Tamandua tetradactyla: one gene and its partner. The protein of the gene in region 2 purifies or fractionates together with the protein of the main gene of each other region. This does not show direct contact. Links are inferred from orthologs where the notes say so. Each region holds a gene or a part of one and is shown on either strand. Other genes may lie near its edges.

Evidence for each region.
Region 1: the proteins of RBBP7 (region 2) and SIN3B purify together in Homo sapiens (affinity purification with mass spectrometry; 5 studies listed by BioGRID and IntAct, counting the BioPlex papers as one, with this or other methods). This does not show direct contact. The link is inferred for Tamandua tetradactyla from reciprocal best matches to the Homo sapiens genes RBBP7 and SIN3B.

What each region holds. Positions count from the first base shown.
Region 1 is NC_135337.1:95,277,017-95,287,029, reverse strand, and holds the start of SIN3B (paired amphipathic helix protein Sin3b), read right to left. Parts: upstream 4,293-10,013; coding exon 4,188-4,292; intron 3,949-4,187; coding exon 3,842-3,948; intron 2,681-3,841; coding exon 2,527-2,680; intron 1-2,526.
Region 2 is NC_135353.1:158,096,488-158,106,794, forward strand, and holds the start of RBBP7 (histone-binding protein RBBP7), read left to right. Parts: upstream 1-6,029; 5' UTR 6,030-6,044; coding exon 6,045-6,211; intron 6,212-10,307. UniProt on the Homo sapiens protein: Core histone-binding subunit that may target chromatin remodeling factors, histone acetyltransferases and histone deacetylases to their histone substrates in a manner that is regulated by nucleosomal DNA.

The sequences.
Region 1 (10,013 bases), on a different chromosome or scaffold from region 2:
AGGCTGTTTGTCCCCTCTGCCAGCTTCCACGGGCCTTCCCTGGTCCCTGTTTCGCAAACACACGGTACGCTTCGGGCACTGTTGGGGGAACGGGGACACGGCCGAGGACAATACAGGGAGGGGCCGGCCCAACCTCAAGCACGCGCAGTCCCTAAGCAAAGCACAAGCAGCATGGGCCTGACGTTCTCATTCCAGCTTAGCTATTCTGGAATATATAGAGCAGGGTGGGCTGGGACTGACCAGGGGGTACAGTAGGGGCTCCCCAAGGAGGCAACACTGTAATTGAAGCCAGATGAGCAGATCCCAAATGGGGCTGGCTCCCCTGCACCCCTCATCGTGGCCCACACCTGTCTACCCTCCTGTTAAGAGACAGGCAGCATGCTTACACCTGCGCCAGCCTGCCCCCCGCCTGGGACACAGGCCAACATCTGCAAGCCATCCCCCCCACCCCCACCCCCCTCAGAGAACACTTGGCCCCACGTGGCAGCAGCACCGCAGCTCAGAGCCCTGCCCAAAGGCTCCCCAAAGCCTGGGCCTCTCTCACTAGCACCCCTGGTGTCTAGCAGCCACTCTTGTCTGAGGGGGACGAGATTTATGAAGAAATGGGAAAATTACACATATGAAAAAAAAAGCTGTACTTCCAAATGGTGAAGTGAGAAAAACCAATAAATAAATCACCCTGAGGGTTTTGCATTAGGGCAGATTAAGAGGTCCTCAGGCTATGAGGACCTTGCAAAGGGTTCCCAGGACCCCAAATGTCACCCCGCTCGTCCCTACAGTGAAGGCATGCCGAGGATGACATGGGCTGCTGGGAAGCAGAGCCTGGAAATCAGATTGTATCCATCGACACCCACTGAGACAGCGGGATTCAAAGCATCTTTCCAACCAAGACATGAAGCCCTGGAAACGGCTGCTTCCAGGCTGCAGAGGGTAAAACCTTGTCTAGTAGCTGTGAAGTAAAGGGTCTTAAAAGCCTTCTGCAAGGCCACAGACCGCTGGCACCCAAGCCAAGCAGGGTGAGACGGGGTGGCAGCCGGCTCTGTCACATGCATGGCAGCTTCCACCATCGGCGCAGCAGGGACTCTGCAACTCCTGAGGGAAGCATCGTCTCAGAACCCACCAGTTCTTTCCACGCCAAGACCCAGCCCCCAGAGTTACTCCAACAGTCAGGGGTCGCTGAAAAGCAATTTCCATGTGCCGAGTGCAATTAGGGGCTTGCGACTCCAGCTCTTTCTCAGCAAATGCTAACTACACCCGATGTTCACAGGTGCTTCAGCCTCCGTGAAGTGCTCTCACATCCATTCCCCGACGTCTGGGCACCGCCAAGGCTCTTAGCGACTGCAGGCATGAGCCCTGCGTTTGCATCCATTTGCAAGCATGGAATGGAAGGGCTTCTTCGTGCAGCAACCACCAGACTTCCGAGTTTCTAAGACTGAGATGCACTTTTCAGCTTTAATGAGACAGCACGCTGATGGGGAGCTTGCTGGGCAGACAGCAAATGGGGACTTGACGTGCAACCCACCCCTGGAGAGAGGGCAACCGCGGCCACATCGCCTCTCGCAGTTCTTTTTCCAGATCCCGACTCCCTAATTCATGTGACTCTGCCATCAAAGGAGAAACCTACCCAGAGCCTCCTGCGCAGATTTTTACCTTTTCTACGGAAATCCTGGGGGCAGGGACCAGAGGAGTACATTAAGACTAGTTGTTCTCAAACCAGGGACAATTTTGTCCCCAAGGGTCACTCGGTTGCATCTGGGGGCAGTTTCAGTTGCAACAGCTGGAGGATACAGTGTGTAGAGGCTGGGGCGCTGCTTAAAAACCCCACAAGGCACCGGCCAGCCAACCCTACCTCCACGGCAACAAACTGCTCCAAAGGGCAATAGTGCTGGGAAAAATTCAATGATTACCTTCTAAATGTAAAGCTCAAATAGGCTTTCTTTGGCTCAGAGGGCCTTGTAAGCTCAGACAACAAGGGACTGCAGGGAGACAGCAACCTGTCACCAGAGAAGGAGGGAGCTGAAGCCATGACCCTGGGGGTGGGAGAGGCTGACCTGAGCCAGCAACCCCAACAGGTATTAAAGAAACACGGCAACAATAAAAACTGCCATTTAGGCACTCATCGTAAAAACGGGGTTTCACTGGAGGCACCGAGAGCTTCCAGGGTGGACAGGGGCAAGTCTGGGGACTTGGAAGGATCTGTCAGGGACACTCCAGGCTCAGTCTTAAACCGAGGCAGTGGCGGCTGCTGAAGCCGTTATTTGGACTAAAAGTAAAATTCTGCGTTAGAAAATCACCTCCCTGACGCACACAAATGTTTCCACCCCTGATTTCAGTCCTCCCAACTGCTCCGTTTGGGGTGCAGTTGCTGCCCGGGTGGGAGCTGCCATCTATTCTGATTTGGGATGGAAGCAGCCGGCACACCTTGGGGAAGGACGGAGCCCCAGCGCCTTTCAGGCAGCCAGATGACAGGGGCACAGGCCCGCCATCCAGCACCGCATGGCCCCTCACGCCCCTATAGTGGCATACCTGGCTGGTCAGCGGCGACTGGACGTTTAGTTTGCCATTCTTGGGAATGTCGATTCTGTAGCCGAGGGGTAGGAAGGCATTGAATCCCACGATGAGGTCAGGGTGTTCGTGAAACAGCTGCGAGACGCGCCGGATGACACCAGGAGTGTCGATGCTACAACAAAGACGGATGCGTGTGGCCAAAAGGGTCCCAGGGAGCAAATCACAAGCTCCCCTACGCTGTCTCCAGACAGTGCCACGGCACCGGCTTATCATCAACAGCAAGGCCACCTAGAGTGTCTTGGCGGCTGGCAAGATTCCATAGGCAATGATCTATTTCCAGGGCAGCCTGGCCTGGCTCTGTATGCTCATCCCGTGAGGACCCTGAAGAACCCCAACAGGACATGAGGCTGCTCCCCCAAACACTCTGAGCCTGGGCATGTGCATCTGAAATGGCCAGGAGAGCGAGCTTGCAAGTCCTGGATGCGAAGGAGTGGCAGGAGCCAAAGCCCTCCACACAACAGGATGAATTTGGGATCAAACGTGACGTGGGATAGTCTCGAGCCCATGCGATTTGCTGCAGTGTATAAACACCGGGGGCCCTGTAGATATCAGGACTGCACAGGCACGTGAGGGGAGAGATGGGCCCTCCTTCAGTCACAGAAAGAGAGCCCTGCCGTGTTTCCCGAGACTGGGGAGCAGCAGGGTGGGAAGGAGACAAGGGAGAATTCATGGGTGGGAGGGTCTGAGTTCCAGTCCAGCCTTCTGTAAATCAAACGCCTGGTCCTGTGCTTCCCCAACTGTCCCTAACTCTCTTGATTCTGTGCCTACAAAAACAACTCGTGTTTTTAAATGCTTTCTGCGTGCCAGGTCCCTTAGTAAGCATTTTACCCCCATTGCTTCCAAGCAGGGCCGGGCCTAGGGCGAAGCCCAGCGACAGCCTCACCCCCAGGGGCAAAATTTATGGTGGAGGGGAGGGATCGCCAAGAACCTCAGAATAAATAACATTTTAATTTGATACTGTACAAGATTCTGAATTACTGCAAGCAGTTCCTGGGTTCCTGGATCAGCTGAATCTATTAAAGATCAGCATTCTCAACAGGCAGGATTCCACCCCCACCCCCCTTGCCCTGCTGGCCTCACCCTAATGGCAGCCCTGCCTCCAGGAATCCCCTTAACAGCTCCACGGGGTGGGGACCACCCACTCCCATTTTTTAGAAGACGACACTGAGGTTCAGAGAGGATCAGCAACCTGCACAAGGTCACCCGGCACTCGGGGAGAGCAGGGCAGCCCAGGGGAGGCCCCCCAGGGAGGAGGAAGGGACCCCGCGGGCACCTCTGGCTCTTGAACTCCTTCATGATCTCCAGGAAGCCGTTGTAGGTGGCAGGGTCGCTGCCGAAGCGGATCTTCACCTGGTCCAGGTAGGTGAGGGCATCCTCCACCTGCAGGGAGGGGGAGGGTCCCGGCGGGCCCGGGTCAGCGGAGCGGGGGCCGGGGACCCGCAGGGCGGTGGAGGTGAGGGTCGGGGCCGGGGTGCGGGGGCCGGGGTCTGGGGAGGCCGAGGCGGCGCCCGGGCCGGGCGGGGCCGGGTGGGGGGCGCGGGCCTGAGGGGGGGCGGCCCGAGGAGACCGGAGGAGACGGGAGGACCTGGGTCCCCAGCGGAGGGCGGGGCGCCACTCACGTGCACTGGCAGCTTCTCGTGGCCCGCGGAACCCGAGCGGCCCCAGCGGGCGCCCCCAAGCCCCCGACCCGCGGGGCCGCCGCCGCCGCCGCCAGCGTGCGCCATGTTGGAAGTCGGAGCCGCGGCCCGCCCCGCCCCTCCCGCCCGGCCGCCAGCGGCGCATGCGCGGGCCCCGCCCCGGGGTGGGGCCGGGAGGGGCGGGGTTTCCTCGGCGTGGGCGGGGTTTCCTCGGGGCGGGGCCTCTCTGTGAAGCTTTTACAACAGGTGAGCAAGCTCATAACCTCTCCGGCCACCGAGCGCTGTCGGAGTGGTCGGTGCGGTTTTAAAAAGTTGGGGGTGGGGGGAAATCCACAAAAGAAGAGCATTTCGTGTTGCGCGAAAATGCTGTGAAATTCACAATTCAGTGTCTCCGCACGTGGGTTTCCACCTGAATCTGTGGCTGCTTCTGCGCTCAGGTGGCAGAGCTGGGCCAGGAAGGCAGAGCTGAGGCAGCAGCCTCTTCCCCAGTTTTCTCACCTCCATCTCCATCAAGAGACGCTCCTAAACCTCTGCTTCCAGACATCCAGGGTCTTCCTGTGTCTTAGGAGATTAAATCTCAGCAGCCTCACGCAGCGTTGAAGACCACCAGAAACTGGTCCCCCGCCCACCTTTCCTGGCAGGATTTCCCACCCAAGCCAAGTGCTCTCTATGAGGGAAGAACATCCAACTTACTCCTAACCAGCTTGGCTGCTTCCTACCCCCATATATCAGGACATGCCATGTCCTCCTCCATGGTCCCTATTTTGTGTCCTCGTTGCTGAGAAAACTCCTACACATCCTTCAAAACCCATCTCAAATGTCCCCTCCCTTGGGAAGCTTCTCAGACCCTGCCTTTTATTCTCATAGTCCCAGGCATGTCATTTTTGTTTTATGCTTCATCTCTAAAACAGTTGCCTGACATGGTCACATCAGCGAGCACTGATCGAGTGAGTGAACATTCAACTCATGACCACGTGGCATCTTGTTTTTCATATGTGAAGATGGGCAGGGAAGCTGAGACTAAATATGAAATGATGGCATCATGTGCCAGGCTCTGTGTAAGGCATCAGGAATGGAATAATGATTAAAAAAAAAAACTGAGCTGGTTCTGCCCTTCCAGAGCTCTCTGCCTTTTAGGATAGATATATAGGAATTATACAAACAATTGTTTCTGTGCAGACACATGTGATGTAAAGGCTTAACTGTAACAAATGCTTCCAAGAGGAGGTAACAGAGTATTCCAGTCACTATTTCCAAGTAACAAAGCACACTCAAGACTTGAAGGCTTAAAGCCTTATGTTATGCACAAAACTACAGCTTGGGGCAGGTGGGGAGGGGAGAGCTCAGCTCTTCATCCTCCACATCTGGGAGGCTTTGCTCTCTCCCAAGCCTGGTATTTGCTGCTGTGTGAGGTCTTCCCTGGGACAATCGCATGGACACCTCCCTTTCCCCATGCAGCTGGAGTCTCCCGACGAAATGGTGTTGCATCCGCTGAACCAACAGCAGGAGTCATCGAGAAAGAAAGAGGGGGACACCCAGTTGGGACTGCCCCAAACCACCCCACAGTGGGCCTGTTGAGCTTCCGAAGAAAGAAGGACTGGACACCAGGACGACTGGTCCTTAGGCATTTATTAGGAAACTTCCAGAAAGCTGCAGCTACCTTGGGACAGACAGCATGATGGCAAAAAGTTCGCTCTGGTATGTCGGCACCTATGGACCCACTCTTTAGATTAAAAAGGCCCAGGGCCCTAAGCATGCTGACGGCCAGGGGCTTGCGGGCACATTTTGGGAAAACATCTGGGGATATGCTTTTTTCTCAACGTAAGATGCCCTCAGGGTGGGCTGTGTGCTTCCGGGAGTTGCAGGAGGGCTGGCAGAGGGGGTGGGGGTCAGGGGAGTGGTCACTTCTCGGTCAGAGAGGAGACGCTGTGTGCAGCTGGGTTCCGAGAGCAGGTGTCCTGAGACAGCCAGGTTGGAGCGCCCCAGCCTTCGTGCCCTCGGAAGTCATGCACAGGCTTCTGCACCGCGTCCTTTCCAGAGAGGCAGTTATGGGGTCCCGCCCCACTTCGAGAGGAGGGCAGATGGGCCCCACAACTGGGCAGTGCCAGGGTCTGGAACAGCATGCGAGGTGGGAAATGCTGCCATGACAGGTCTTGGAAAATGCTCTCTGCCTCCCGGGGGACTTACTCCAGTTTAGCAGAAGATGGAGAAGGCTTCCCCCAGGAGGCGGGGCTCCCGTTGAGAGCTGAAGGGTGCTAGGTGTTAACCCTGAGAAAAGTCCGATTGAACGGCTGTGCAAGAGCCCTGGGGTGGGAGGGGAAGCACAGCACGTTCTACAACAGACAAAAAGGCCAGCACTCCTGGACTGCAGAGAGGGAGGGAGAGAGGAGGTGCAGGGGGTGGATGCTGAGTGGAGTGGGAGCAGAATCCTAGGGATAATTTAGGGCTTTGGGGGTTGACCTTTAGCTGGTAGAACTGCACTTTAAAAAAATATATATATATATATTCATCATCATGATCATTTCTTAGAATGTTTGCATGAATCCAGAAGAAGAAAATAGAAAAAAAATTCATACGTACCATATCCCTTACCCCTCCCTTTCATTGATCACTAGTATTTCATCCTACTAAATCTATTTTAAATTTGTTCCCCCTATTATTCATTTATTTTTAATCCATATATTTTACTCCTCTGTCCATAAGGTAGATAAAAGGAGCATCAGACACAAGGTTTTCACAATCACACAGTCACAATGTGAAAGCTATAGCATTATACAATCATCTTCAAGAAACATGGCTACTGGAACACAGATCTACATTTTCAGGCAGTTCCCTCCAGCCTCTCCATTACATCTTTTTTTTTTTTTAACTTTTTTTTATTAATTAAAAAAAATTAACAAACAAAACATTAAGATACCATTCCATTCTACATATACAATCAGTAATTCTTAATATTATCACATAGTTGCATATTCATCATTTCTTAGAACATTTGCATCGATTTAGAAAAAGAAATAAAAAGACAACAGAAAAAGAAATAAAACGATAATAAAGAAAAAAAAGATTATACATACCATATCCCTTACCCCTTGCTTTCATTTACCACTAGCATTTCAAACTAAATTTATTTTAACATTTGTTCCCCCTATTATTTATTTTTATTCCATATGTTCTACTCTTCTGTTGATATAGTAGCTAAAAGGAGCATCAGACACAAGGTTTTCACATTCACAGAGTCTCATTGTGAAAGCTATATCATTGTTCAATCATCATCAAGAAACATGGCTCCTGGAACACAGCTCTACATTTTCAGGCGGTTCCCTCCAGTCTCTCTGCTACATCTTGAACAACAAGGTGATATCTATCTACTTAATGCATAAGAATAACCTGCAGAATAACCTCTCGACTCTGTTTGGAATCTCAGCCATTGACACTTAGTCTCATTTCACTCTTCCCCCTTTGGTCGAGAAGGTTCTCTCAATCTCTTGATGCTAATTCTCAGCTCATTCTAGGGTTTTTCTCAATCCCTTGATGTTGAGTCTCAGCTCATTCCAGGATCTCTGTCCCACGTTGCCAGGAAGGTCCACACCCCTGGGAGTCATGTCCCACGCAGACAGGGGGAGGGTGGTGAGACTGCTCATCATGTTGGCTGGAGAGAGAGGCCACATCTGAGCAACAAAAGAGGCTCTCTTGGGGGTGACTCTTAGGCCTAAATTTTAAGTAGACTTGACCTATCCTTTGTGGGGTTAAGTTTCATATGAACAAACCCCAAGACTGGGGGCTCAGCCTATAGCTTTGGTTGTCCACACTGCTTGTGAGAATATCAAGAATTCAACTTGGGGAAGTTGAGTTTTCCCCAGTTCTCACCATTCCCCGAAGGGGGCTTGCAAATACTTTTCCAGTCACTGATCAAATCACTCTGGGATTCATTGGGGCATCACTCTGGGCAAACCAACAAAATCTCATGTCCTACCTCAGATTCCAAGTTCTTACGACATTCAATCAAACTATCTACATGAGTTATATTAGGAAATGCTCTAGTCAAAATATAAATTTTGTAACAAATAAACATTTTTTTGCTTTAGTCTCACACAGAAGGTGACATTTTAAAGTATTAATTATCATCTGTTTTCAGCACACTACAATAATGACATTCCTTTGTTCTTCCTCATGCAAAAACATTTTTAAAGTTTGTACATAGTACATTTCACTATTATTATACACTCTAGGCATTCCTAGATTATACCATCTCGATCTTTACCATCTATCTTTCTTTCTGATTTCATTTATGTCCCCAGCCCTCCTCCCTCTATCATTCTCACATGCAGCTTCATTCAGTGTTTTAACATAATTACATTGCAGTTAGGTAGTATTGTGCTGTCCATTTCTGAGGTTTTTTTTTACCATCCCTAACACACCTTTGGTCACCATTATACTTTATAAGATTCTGATAAAACATTTATTATGCTCTATTGCAATTTTTTTTATTAATTAATGGAAAAAAAGAAATTAACCCAACATTTAGAAATCATACCATTCTACATATGCAATCAGTAATTCTTAACATCATCACAAAGATGCATGATCACCATTTCTTAGTACATTTGCATCAGTTTAGAAGAACTAGCAACACAACAGAAAAAGATATAGAATGTTAATATAGAGAAAAAAAATAAAAGTGATAATAATAGTAAAAAAAAAAAAAAACCTATAGCTCAGATGCAGCTTCATTCAGTGTTTTAACATGATTACTTTACGATTAGGTATTATTGTGCTGTCCATTTTTGAGTTTTTGTATCTAGTCCTGTTGCACAGTCTGTATCCCTTCAGCTCCAATTACCCATTATCTTATCCTGTTTCTAACTCCTGCTGGACTCTGTTACCAACAACATATTCCAAGTTTATTCACTAATGTCAGTTTGTATCAGTGAGACCATACAGTATTTGTCCTTTAGTTTTTGGCTAGTCTCACTCACCATAATGTTCTCTAGGTCCATCCATGTTGTTACATACTTCATAAGTTTGTTCTGTCTTAAAGCTGCATAATATTCCATCGTATGTATATACCACAGTTTGTTTAGCCACTTGTCTGTTGATGGACATTTTGGCTGTTTCCATCTCCTTGCAATTGTAATAATGCTGCTATAAACATTGGTGTGCAAATGTCCGTTTGTGTCTTTGCCCTTAAGTCCTTTGAGTAGATACCTAGCAATGGTATTGCTGGGTCATATGGCAATTCTATATTCAGCTTTTTGAGGAACCGCCAAACTGCCTTCCGCAGTGGTTGCACCATTTGACATTCCCACCAACAGTGAATAAGTGTGCCTCTTTCTCCGCATCCTCTCCAGCACTTGTCATTTTCTGTTTTGTTGATAATGGCCATTCTGGTGGGTGTGGAATGATATCTCATTGTGGTTTTGATTTGCATTTCTCTAATGGCCAGGGATGTTGAGCATCTCTTCATGTGCCTTTTGGCCATTTGTATTTTCTCTTCTGAGAAGTGTCTGTTCAAGTCTTTTTCCCATTTTGTAATTGGATTGGCTGTCTTTTTGTTGTTGAGTTGAACTATCTCTTTATAAATTCTGGATACTAGACCTTTATCTGATATGTCATTTCCAAATATTGTCTCCCATTGTGCAGGCTGACTTTTTACTTTCTCTCTCTCTCTTTTTTTTTTTTTAATAACCAGGTCTGAACCTGCCTTAAATTTTTTTTTTAACTTTTTTTATTAATTAAAAAAATTAACAAACAAAACATTAAGATATCATTCCATTCTACATTGTCTTTTTACTTTCTTAATGAAGTTCT
Region 2 (10,307 bases):
ATTACCTCATTGTCCCCTCTTTCATCCTTCTAACATCTATGCAACCAATTCTCTGTATTATATCCACTCTATTGGAAATACTTAGCACAGCTTCTGCTTTCCTGAGTGTTGAAGCTTTTATACAATTACAAACAAAAGTTTGTAAACTGTTTTATATCTTATTTTTTTCTCTCCAACTACAAAGGTCATGTTCCTGATTCAGGAGAATCTGTGGTTGAATTTAGGACATAGGGATGGGGGTAGATAGGGTTATGTGAATAACAGAATTCTTTGGTGACAAGCAATGAATGGACTCAGGCTAATCTGGGTAAAAAGAGAACTATGGAAAGCCACTTTAAAAAAAAAAAAAGAATCTATGGAAGAATATGGGAAGCCCACGGAATCAAAGGTAGAGATGTGGGAGGGGTGGGACCAGAGCACAGCCAGGTAGCTAGGAAGCAGGAATCAATGGGCTGCCCTCTGAGGGTGCTTCACCAGCATGAATCTACAGAATCCACATCCCAGGAAGGGCATGGCTTTCAGGCCCCTGTGGTCACAAGCCTACCTTACTGGTTGGTAGTCAGCAGGACATACCAAGTGACAGACCCACCAAAATGTGTCCAATTGAGGAAGAATAGATCATGGAAAAGAAATTTAGCAGGCTATTCCCTACTGAAGGAAGAATGGATGATGGTCAGCAATTACAAATTACAAATTTGTGCTACAAGGAACTTCAGATGAAATCATCAGTTGTAAATTAAAACGCATTATACACTAAAACTTTGAATAAAAGAATTATGTAAAAAAAAAAGAATTATGTGCTTGGGGTGGAATGTTCAGGGAAATCTTTCTAAAAGAAGTTTCTACAGGTGAAGCCTTCCCATCACTGCTTATGGATTGGGACAAGCCCAGGAGGAGTTTTTTTTAATCACTGTTTTTTTCATTTGACAAATATTTATTTACTACGCCCCACTGATTCTAAGCCCCAGTGACTATGGTCTAGGTCATTTCCTCTATGCAATGTCACCAAAGCAGAGCTAGTGTTACTTAACATTAACAGGGTAAATTGGCCTTTTAAAAATCTAGAAAGACACCCTACAAAGGTTAAATATTAACATACTTATAAATATAAAACAATTACTTCACTTCACCTAATAAAATACAATAGTAAATGAAAACAAAGCGTAAGTTCAAACAATTATAGTACATTTTCTATTATAATATTTTTCCTTTAACTCCTCACACAATTGCGTTAAAAGATATTTTAAGAGAAACTACTTAGTATTGTGTCACACTAGGGCAATTCTTTTTATTTTTCTGTATTACTCCTTTGTCATTTATTTATATATTTTTTCTAAAATGTGTGGGGTTGTTTTCTGTTTATAGGAGTAATGTGTGACCATTAGAGAAAAGTTTTAAAATAGAGCAATATATGGAGAATAAAATACCCATCAACCATTAATACCAGTACCAAGAGACAATGGTTGTCAGTATCTTAGTGTATTTTCTTCAGCTCCTGATGATTCGGATGAAAACAATTTGGCCAAAAGCAAAACTAGTATTCTTTATGTTCCCCTTTTGCTTTATAATTTCCTGCTCTTTCTGTAATGTGCTTTGCTTTTATACTAAAACAAATAATAAAGAAACAAGATCTCTGTCTTATTCATCCCCTTTATCTCCATATCCAGCACATTTCTTGGAACTCCAAAAATATTTTCTGGAAGGCTAAGATTTTCACTCTAAACTAGTGAGATGGAGTTGTTAATAAACACAGCATTACACTACAGCTATGCATGGGTATAACTTCTCTCTTCTTTTAGTGAACGGTTCATTCTATTAATACGTGATCAATTCTCAAAAATTTTGCTTTCTTACTATAAGACTGATCAGATTCAAACTCCAATCCAATATCCACTAGCAATGTGACAACAAAGATCTGCCCTCAAATCTACATTCTAGTGAGAAAGCCATGATCAAACATTTGTCAGATGGTATGACAAAACAAGTGCTAGGGAAAAATAATAGACTGAAGGGGACAGAAGATGACTTCAGGTGGGGGGTACATGTGGGGGATCAGAGATGGCATAAGATTTCAAAATATACTAGTGCAGTAATTTTTGAAAATCTCAAGTTGTGACTAAGTGCGATCATGAAATCAATTTAGAGGATGAGCTGCATAGTTTTAAAAAAATGAAATATAAAGATACAGAGCCCATCACATATATTAAAGGTAAGCACTGTTTTGTGCTTGTTCCAGTTAACTCACACAGGTACTAGTCTGTAAAGCACTGCCTGGCATGGAGAAAGGCGTGATTAACTTCTGAACTTTGAAGGAAAGAGTCTTAGAGAAGGGTACCTCTCTCGGTTAGGATAGTCACACCTTGTGCCTGCACCTGTTCATGTCTTACTCAATTACATAACGGACTTAGCTGGGTGCAACAGAGACAAAAAGACAATGCAGTAAAAGAGGGAAAAAATATCAGGATCAGAGCTAAGAGGTAGGGGAGAAAGGCAAAACAAAACTAAACAGTTAAGCAGTTCAAGAGAGAGAACTGTTTTCACATTTTTCCAGGCAAAAAGTACCCCATAGGAAAAACACCAAAAAAAAAAAAAAAAGCGAGAAATAGGATTGACAGATTTAACAACAAAAACAAAAATCACCAAAATCCAAAGCTAATCATATATGCTATACATGATAAGTGCATGACACTCGTAAATATTTTTAGAAACTTCCCTAATATCTGTTCCATACTCCCTGCTCCTATTCTCCTGCTATCAAGATTTTAAAGCCATACAGTTTGGAAAGGTTTCTCTTTTTTTCAGCCCTTTAAACATTTAATACATTTTGAAAATCATGCCTACCCATCAGGAATGACTAAATTATATTAATGAGAGACTGGAAATCGTCTGCCAAGCCTTCCCTGGCCCTGCAAAGGACGGGGTTCCCACTGAAGCAGGGCTGTGATACAGGACTGTTCTAGAACAAAACCAGCAAACTACAGTTCGCTGCCTCGTTTTCCTATGGTCCATGAGCTAAGAATGACTTTTACATACTTTTTAATGGTCGGGAAAACAAACCAAAAGAAGGAGAATATGTTGTGGCACATGAAAATTATATAAGGGTGCACCAGCGGTTCAGTGGTAGAATGCTCCTGCCATACGGGAAACCAGATTCAATTTCCAACCGATGCATGCCAAAAAAGGTTATATGAGATTCACACTTTAAAATATGGTGAAAATGGCAAATTTTATATTATATACACGTGATACCACAATGTAATTTTTAATTACATTTAATTCAAATTTCGGAGTCTATAAAGCTTTATTGGAACACAGCCAGGTTCATCCATATTGTCAAAGGCTGCTTCAATGTTAAAAGGGCGGCAGAGTTGAACAGTCAACCGCAAGGCCTAAAATATTTACTACCTGGCCCTTTATAAAAAAAAAGTTTGCAGATCGTGTTCCTAGAATACAAGGGCCGTACTGCTTAATCACCCTTCCAATCCTCTTCCCTCTCTAGCCACCACTCCAGCTTTAGTCAAGAACAAGATTGCTGTGCCTGCCATGGAGGGAGGGCGTTATAATAATGAATTGTATCGAAACTTGAGACATAAGACTATAACTTTCTATATAAGGCCATATGAGTGGTTCTGCCACCAATTAGAGTAACTTCTGGGTTCGTTTCCCGATCAGAAAAGTGTGCATCACAGCAGCAGCTGCACCATTTCGTTTGAACATCACCATGGTCACTTGCGTGCAGGCACTTGGAAACGTATCAAGGCAACAAGTGTTCCGAGGGTGTTTTTGCAAGGCGGAGCGTCTCTCCGAGTCTGGATATAGACTGCGCTGCCCTCTGCAAGTCTGCACCTCCGTCGCTCCCCGCCCGCTCCCCTCTACGTCCAGCCCTCCTTTCAGTCTCTCACTTCCCCTTTCGGCCCCGCAGCCCGCTGGCTCCACACCCACCTCCCTCCCCCTTTCCTCAGAGCCTACCAAGTTGCCCGGGAGCACCGGGTTTAGGTAAAACCGGCCCGGGTCAGCCCGGCCCAGCACTGTCCAGTCAGGATGGTGGGTTGCCCTGGGACCCCTGCAGGTGGTAAGAATGACTCAGCAGGGCCCAGGCCTGGGCCCGAGACGCGAACGACCCAGCCCGGGGCCCAAGTCCCTTGCACTACGAAAAGGCCGCAAACCATCATTTGTTCTGGGCCCAAATACCCCAACAAACGGAAATTTAATTCGAGTCCGTTTCCGACCGCTGTGGCACCAGAGTCAGGCTGTCTAGGCCCCCACAGGCCGCACGTTTAAATTAACAGGGCGGGCACGGCGACTACTACAGCCAGAAAATGCCTGGGGCCTCTTCAAAAGGTCCCCTTCGACTCCCACAAACCGCACCCCACCCCCACCCCGGGCCGACCTCGCCCGCCAGAGGGGGCGGCGCGCCGGCCCCGGGAAAGGCCAGCGTCTGCTTGGAGGAGAACCTTTAGGGGTGCACTCAATCGCATGCCCGGGACTACCAGGGAAACGCACTAATTTCTTGAGAATTGAAAACAATTCCTAAAACTCTGGCCCACAGTCCCCGGCTTGCTCCCGCCCCCAAAGATTTCGCCCGGCTAGGCGGCGGCAGCCTCCCTGCCCCCTCTCCCTTCCCCCCACCACCTCGTTTCAGACAACCACGCCCCGCAGCCCCAGGGCTCACCGCCCCGGGGCCGCCAGCCCCCGCGCAGCTGGGCACGCCGCGCCTCCATTCGCCCCGCCCCCGCGCGTCCCCATCCACCCCCGCGGCCGGCCCTGGGAGCGCCAGGCGAGACCTTGCGCCTGCGCGTCGCCAACTTCCTGCCGCGGACCTCCCCGCCCACCCCCAGAGTCCCGCCCCCGAAAGCCGCGTGAAACCCGCCCGCCTCACGCCATTGGGCGAGGCGCAGGAGCCGTTGGCTCCCAGGCCCGCCTCCCCACCGCCTCTCACTTTTCCCAGGCGGATGCGCCTGCGCCCAGCAGCCTGGGCGGGCTGAGAGGCGCGGGTTGAAAAGTCTCGTTCCAAGTTTGGAGAGAGAGAAGCGCAGCACAGACCTCGGTACCCGCGAGAGGGGAGGAGGCAGGAAAGAAGGACGCGGCATCTGGGGGAGCACGCAGGCAGCAACGGAGCTCAGGCTTCGGCAGCTAGAAGTGCGTGACGCTGCTGGGAAAGGCAGGAGCGCCTGCGGTTGGGCTGCTCTCGACTAGCGAGGGGAGTCCGAGGCGGCGGCGAGGGGCGAACGACCCGACGCAAGATGGCGAGTAAAGAGAGTAAGAGGCCCTGCGGGGCGGCGCGCGCCGGGGCTGCGGGGGGCGGCGGGCGCGCGAGGCCGCGGCACGCGCCGGCGAAAGGCGCGAATTGGCGTGCGGAGCAGGGGGCGGGGCCGGGCGCCAGGTTGGGCGCGCGCCTCGAGGGGCCTGCGCGGGACGCGGCCGCGGCGCGGAGGGTTCCGAGCACTTCCGGAGCCGGGCGCGGGGCCCAGGATTGGGCCCCCGGCGGCTGCGCTCTCTTGGGCGCTCCCGGCATTGGGGCGGAGGCGGCCGCCACCGGGCAGCGGGGACGGCGGTTCTCTCCGCACGCGCGCGTCCACCGCCTTAGGGTCGCGGCCTCGGCCGCGGGGCCTCTGGAGCCGCTTGGCCTATGGCTGCCCGCGCGGGTATCGTGGGGCCTCTCCTGGTGGGGGATGAAGGGAGGGGGCTGATGGTTTTCTGCTACGTGTAGATCTGTCTCCGAGTGGGTTATAGGGATCCTCTAGATCCACACAATCCATCTCCTTAGAGCAGGTGCGAACAGCTGTAAAGGACAAAACAATTCCTAAAATCAGAGGCGGTTTGGCGTCCCTGTTACTATCCTATTCTGTTTGCGCAGGAGATATTGAGCTCAAAGTGCAAAAAATAAGCTTTCTGGCATTAATATTCTGTCCACGTTCTGGGGGAGCAGTTTTTTGCCTCTAAAGTAAAGATAAAGGGATAGATGAGAGGTGTGGCCATCTCGAGGTGACCTCTCCAGTACCTGTGTACAGTTTCTGACTTCGGTCTCTCAGCCACTTAATCGTATGAGCTTTCTCCAAATTTCAGTGTTCGAAGATACTGTGGAGGAGCGTGTCATCAACGAAGAATATAAAATCTGGAAGAAGAATACACCATTTCTATATGACCTGGTTATGACCCATGCTCTTCAGTGGCCGAGTCTTACCGTACAGTGGCTTCCTGAAGTGACTAAGTAAGGGTTTCTGGCAACTTTTATTTTGCAGAAATTGAAGTGTCGACCTGAATTTCTTAGCGTTCTATACCTAGAATGTAAGCTCGTAATCATTAGCCCTTGGATGAGGTGGTAGGTGGTTTTTATTTTTAAAGTTGAAGTGACTTATGGGATGAATTCTGATGTATACGCGTGGCATTAAAGGGGGAGAAAGGCTCCTTTGTGAGAATAATGATGTTTTTAGGAAACACTGAATATATTGAATGGTCTTGGGCTGAGATATAGAGCAGCATCTCTCGGGGCCCTGGACTACTGCATTTCTTTCAAACTTTATTGAAAGCATGCACACAGAAGATGCACAAATTGTAAATGTAATTTTTTTTGATGAATTTTTACAAAAAGAACACGCCCATGTAGCTGGCACTCAGGATAAACAGTTTTGATTGGCAAAGGGAAAAAGTTTGGCAACGGTTTCCTGAAGAAAGGCTGTTATTGTCTTAAAATATAGAATATACTTTGAGATTGCTGTTAGTTTTCATTAGAGTGTTCTTTTTAGCTAGTCCTAAAATTTCTCTGGTAATAATTGCTGACATTTATTGAATGCTTAGAACAGGATCTGGCACATCTGAGAAGTTTTACGTCCTGTTATTTGGTTTAATCCTCACAAGGGTACTACAGTGCATAGGTGCTTTTATTATCCTGTTTTGCTGATGAGGAAACTGAGGCTGAAAGGTTAAAAAACATGCCCAGGATCACCTACCTGATAAGAAGTGGGCTTAAGAACACAGACCTGATGGCTCCAGAGTTCAGACAACCTCTGCACTAGCCTGCCTACCTTTCTCATGTGCTTGCCCTTTTCCTAGCAGAAACTTGACTGTAGACTTTAAAGGTGTATTAATTTTGGGTATCATGAGTACATAATTTAATGGGGGTTAAATCAAATAATCTATAAAGTGAATTTTTGTGATAAGTTATAAAAATAATTTTAAAGTTGTTTTATGTTCTATTTTATAAATTATTACTTATTTTATAAAATTATAGTTTTGTGAAAGATTAACTTATTTTGCAATGGCCAGATTCTCCGTGTGCAAACGTTTGATTCCACACAGATAGGGTCTCCGTTGGTGTTCCTAAATGTCTGAGTGTAAATGTACAGATACAGGAAAGGTAGCCAAGAACTAGTAATGAAGACTTCCGAACACGGGCATTTTGTAACTACCTTTGATAGATTTCTAAAATAGATTGAGCGTCATATGCTTAAGGGTATTTAGATTCTGGTTTGAAGCATCTTGTGCATTTGACTCTGTCTTCCTGTTAAGCAAATTCAAAACTTTTCCACAACTTAACGTACCTTACCTTGCATCTTTTTGACCTGTAATATTGTAGAAAAAGCCGGGGGCTTTCAGTTTAGAGACCTGGGTTTGAAGATTGCCCCTATTTGTGACCTAGGGCGAGTTCAGACTCTATCTCCACATAGTCTGGACTGTAAATGGAGATGCTGGTAGTATTGACCGCCTACACTTGAGGGAATTAAATAAGATCATCCATATTGAAGTCCTGGTGCATAGTAAGCACCCAGTAAACCTGTTGTGGTAGCTGATGCTGATTTTCCCATTCCTTCCCCTTTGTTAGACAGGGTGGAAATAGTTCTGTGTTTCTCCGTTTGAATTTCTGTGGTAGTGACTAACTAAAATCCATTTTAAGCATTGCCAGCAATGATGTTTTGCTTATAGGTTTTAAAGATAAACCTATATGTTCCTCTTGGGTTGGACAGATTACTTTTATATTCACACTTAAGAACTTACCAGAAAATGCTTTAACTAAATTACATATTCTGTGGTGTTCTTCACATACAAAGAGGTTGTGGGATCTGGTTGTGGGAAGTGCAGTGGCTCTGGGAATGCAAGAAAATGCCAGCCAGCCTGCTTGCATTCTTGGATGTTGAAGACTGCTCTGTGGTGCTTTTAGCAGGGTTCTGTCTGGGATACGAAGGGAATATGATTGTGTTTTATCACTAACAAAACGGTAAAAATGTTGGCTATGTTTCTTACTGCCTGAGACCTTTAGCCCTCTCGTAGGTCTTTCTTCTTCTGCCTACATACAACATGTTTTCTATTACTTGAACTTTCTGAGTTGGTATCCTTAAATTCATTTAGGTAATTGTCCACATAGTTGATTTGGCTTTTTAAAGGTTTTATTTTTTAAAGTTCATAGATCATTATTTCATATCTTGTTAAGTAACTTCTTAATAAATGTATTGAGACTTAACTTAGTTTCTACCTAAAGAGCTTTTGCAGTCTATCAAAGTACGCAAGTATATAGAGTGAAGAATAAATCTCCCTTCCACGTCCCCTATTTTCCCAGCTCCCTTCCCCAGGGCAGGGACACTCATTTTCAATTTCTTAGCCATCTTGCCAGCATATAGAAGTGCGTATTTATCTCTTTTCCACCTTTTTTTGTGGTAACAGGTTGTTCATGTGACTTTTCATTAAGAGTGTATATTGGAGCCTTTTTCCTATCAGCATGCTTAAATAGGCTTCATTCTTTTCAAGGGCTTCATAGAATTCTATATGTCATCAGTTCCTTAGTGATGGGTATTTAGGTTGTTTTCAGTCTTTTGTGACTGTGAACAGTGCTGCTGAGGATAATCTTGTAATAAGACACATTTCTGTGATTGTGAGGTAAATTTCCTAGCAGTAGAGTGACTAGATCAAAGGATTCTGACACTGAAGAAGGGGACAGGCTCTTTTACCATTAGTACTTCTGCAGCCTTTAGGTACATCCAGTGTTAGAGGAAAAGAGTTTCCTTTTGATTATTTTAGAAAGTAGGCTTGTGTTTTGATGATGAAGTGAAAGGATTTGTAGTCAAAAGAGCAGTCCTTGTATGATTATCAAGTTGGGAAACTGGAGTAGTGGAATTTTATTAGAGCCAAGAAGAATTTTTTAAGATGCTTTGTTGTCCCAAGTCCATCTCCATCTTAGGACAGTGCCCCTTAAAAAGTTCCTGTGATGAACTGATGTGTCAAACTGTAACTTTTCCCTTTTGTTTTTACTTTACTGCTTAAACCCAATAAAAAACAAGTCGCTTCCTTCCATTTATATCAGTCCTAATATTGCTCTGTGGTGCCTCCTTTCTCTCCAGCATCTCTGTTCTTCTCAACTGTTTCTCATGTGGTATGTTTAAGTTCCCTTTCATTTCAAACTCTGCTTTTTCATCTAATCCCTCCTAAAGTACATTACCTAGAGCCTCATTTGTAAGTGGTTTTACCAGTTAGAAATGCACACATGCATGCGCTCTCTCACACTCTCAAGACCATCTAAGGTGAATTACCTTTTTTGATATATAATCCCCTCAGCATCCATCAACTAAGACCCTTGTCTTTACAAACAAGTTGCTATTGCTTAATTAACCATGGCTGCCTTATTTTGTTCTTTGTTCTGTGCACATTTGTTGTTCTTTTTACCTTAAGCCATATCTTAGCTTGGTTAACTTTTGTCTTATGTTTTTCAGTTATTGCTAAATTTTGTGCTTACAAGTAACATCCAAACCTTTTTTAAAAAAACCACTGGATCCTTTGTACAACTGAAATTTAGAGATAGATAGATTATGGCCCTTCTCATTAAGTTGGGACCATGGAACGCGGTTGAAAATTGCTGTTCATGCTAGTACAAATGGGAAAGCACTGTAGTTCTATAAAGATGCAAAAATTACTGATTGGGCCAAGAGGCATTAGCAGGTTCTTGGGCTTCAAGGTGAATTATCACAGAGCGAGGGAACAAAGACCCCTCAAGAAAATGTAAGAATACCCATTTCATAAACTTTAAACATCATAAACATAAATAAGGTGTTTTCATACCATGTCACTTGCACTCATGACCTATGTTTTTAGCTAAGGAAATAGGCCCTCAAGAAAGTTGTGATTTGAAGTAATTACATACAGCTAATTTTAGTTTGAGCCAGTATTTAAACTGTTTTTCTGACTCAACTCTTTATTCTTTCCATTCTACTTTATTGCCTCTTATTGGAAAATCAGAAACGTCTAGCATTTAATAAAATGCTGCTATGGGCAGAAGATATTTGATAGTCATGATAATCATGATTTATTAGTATGGGGAT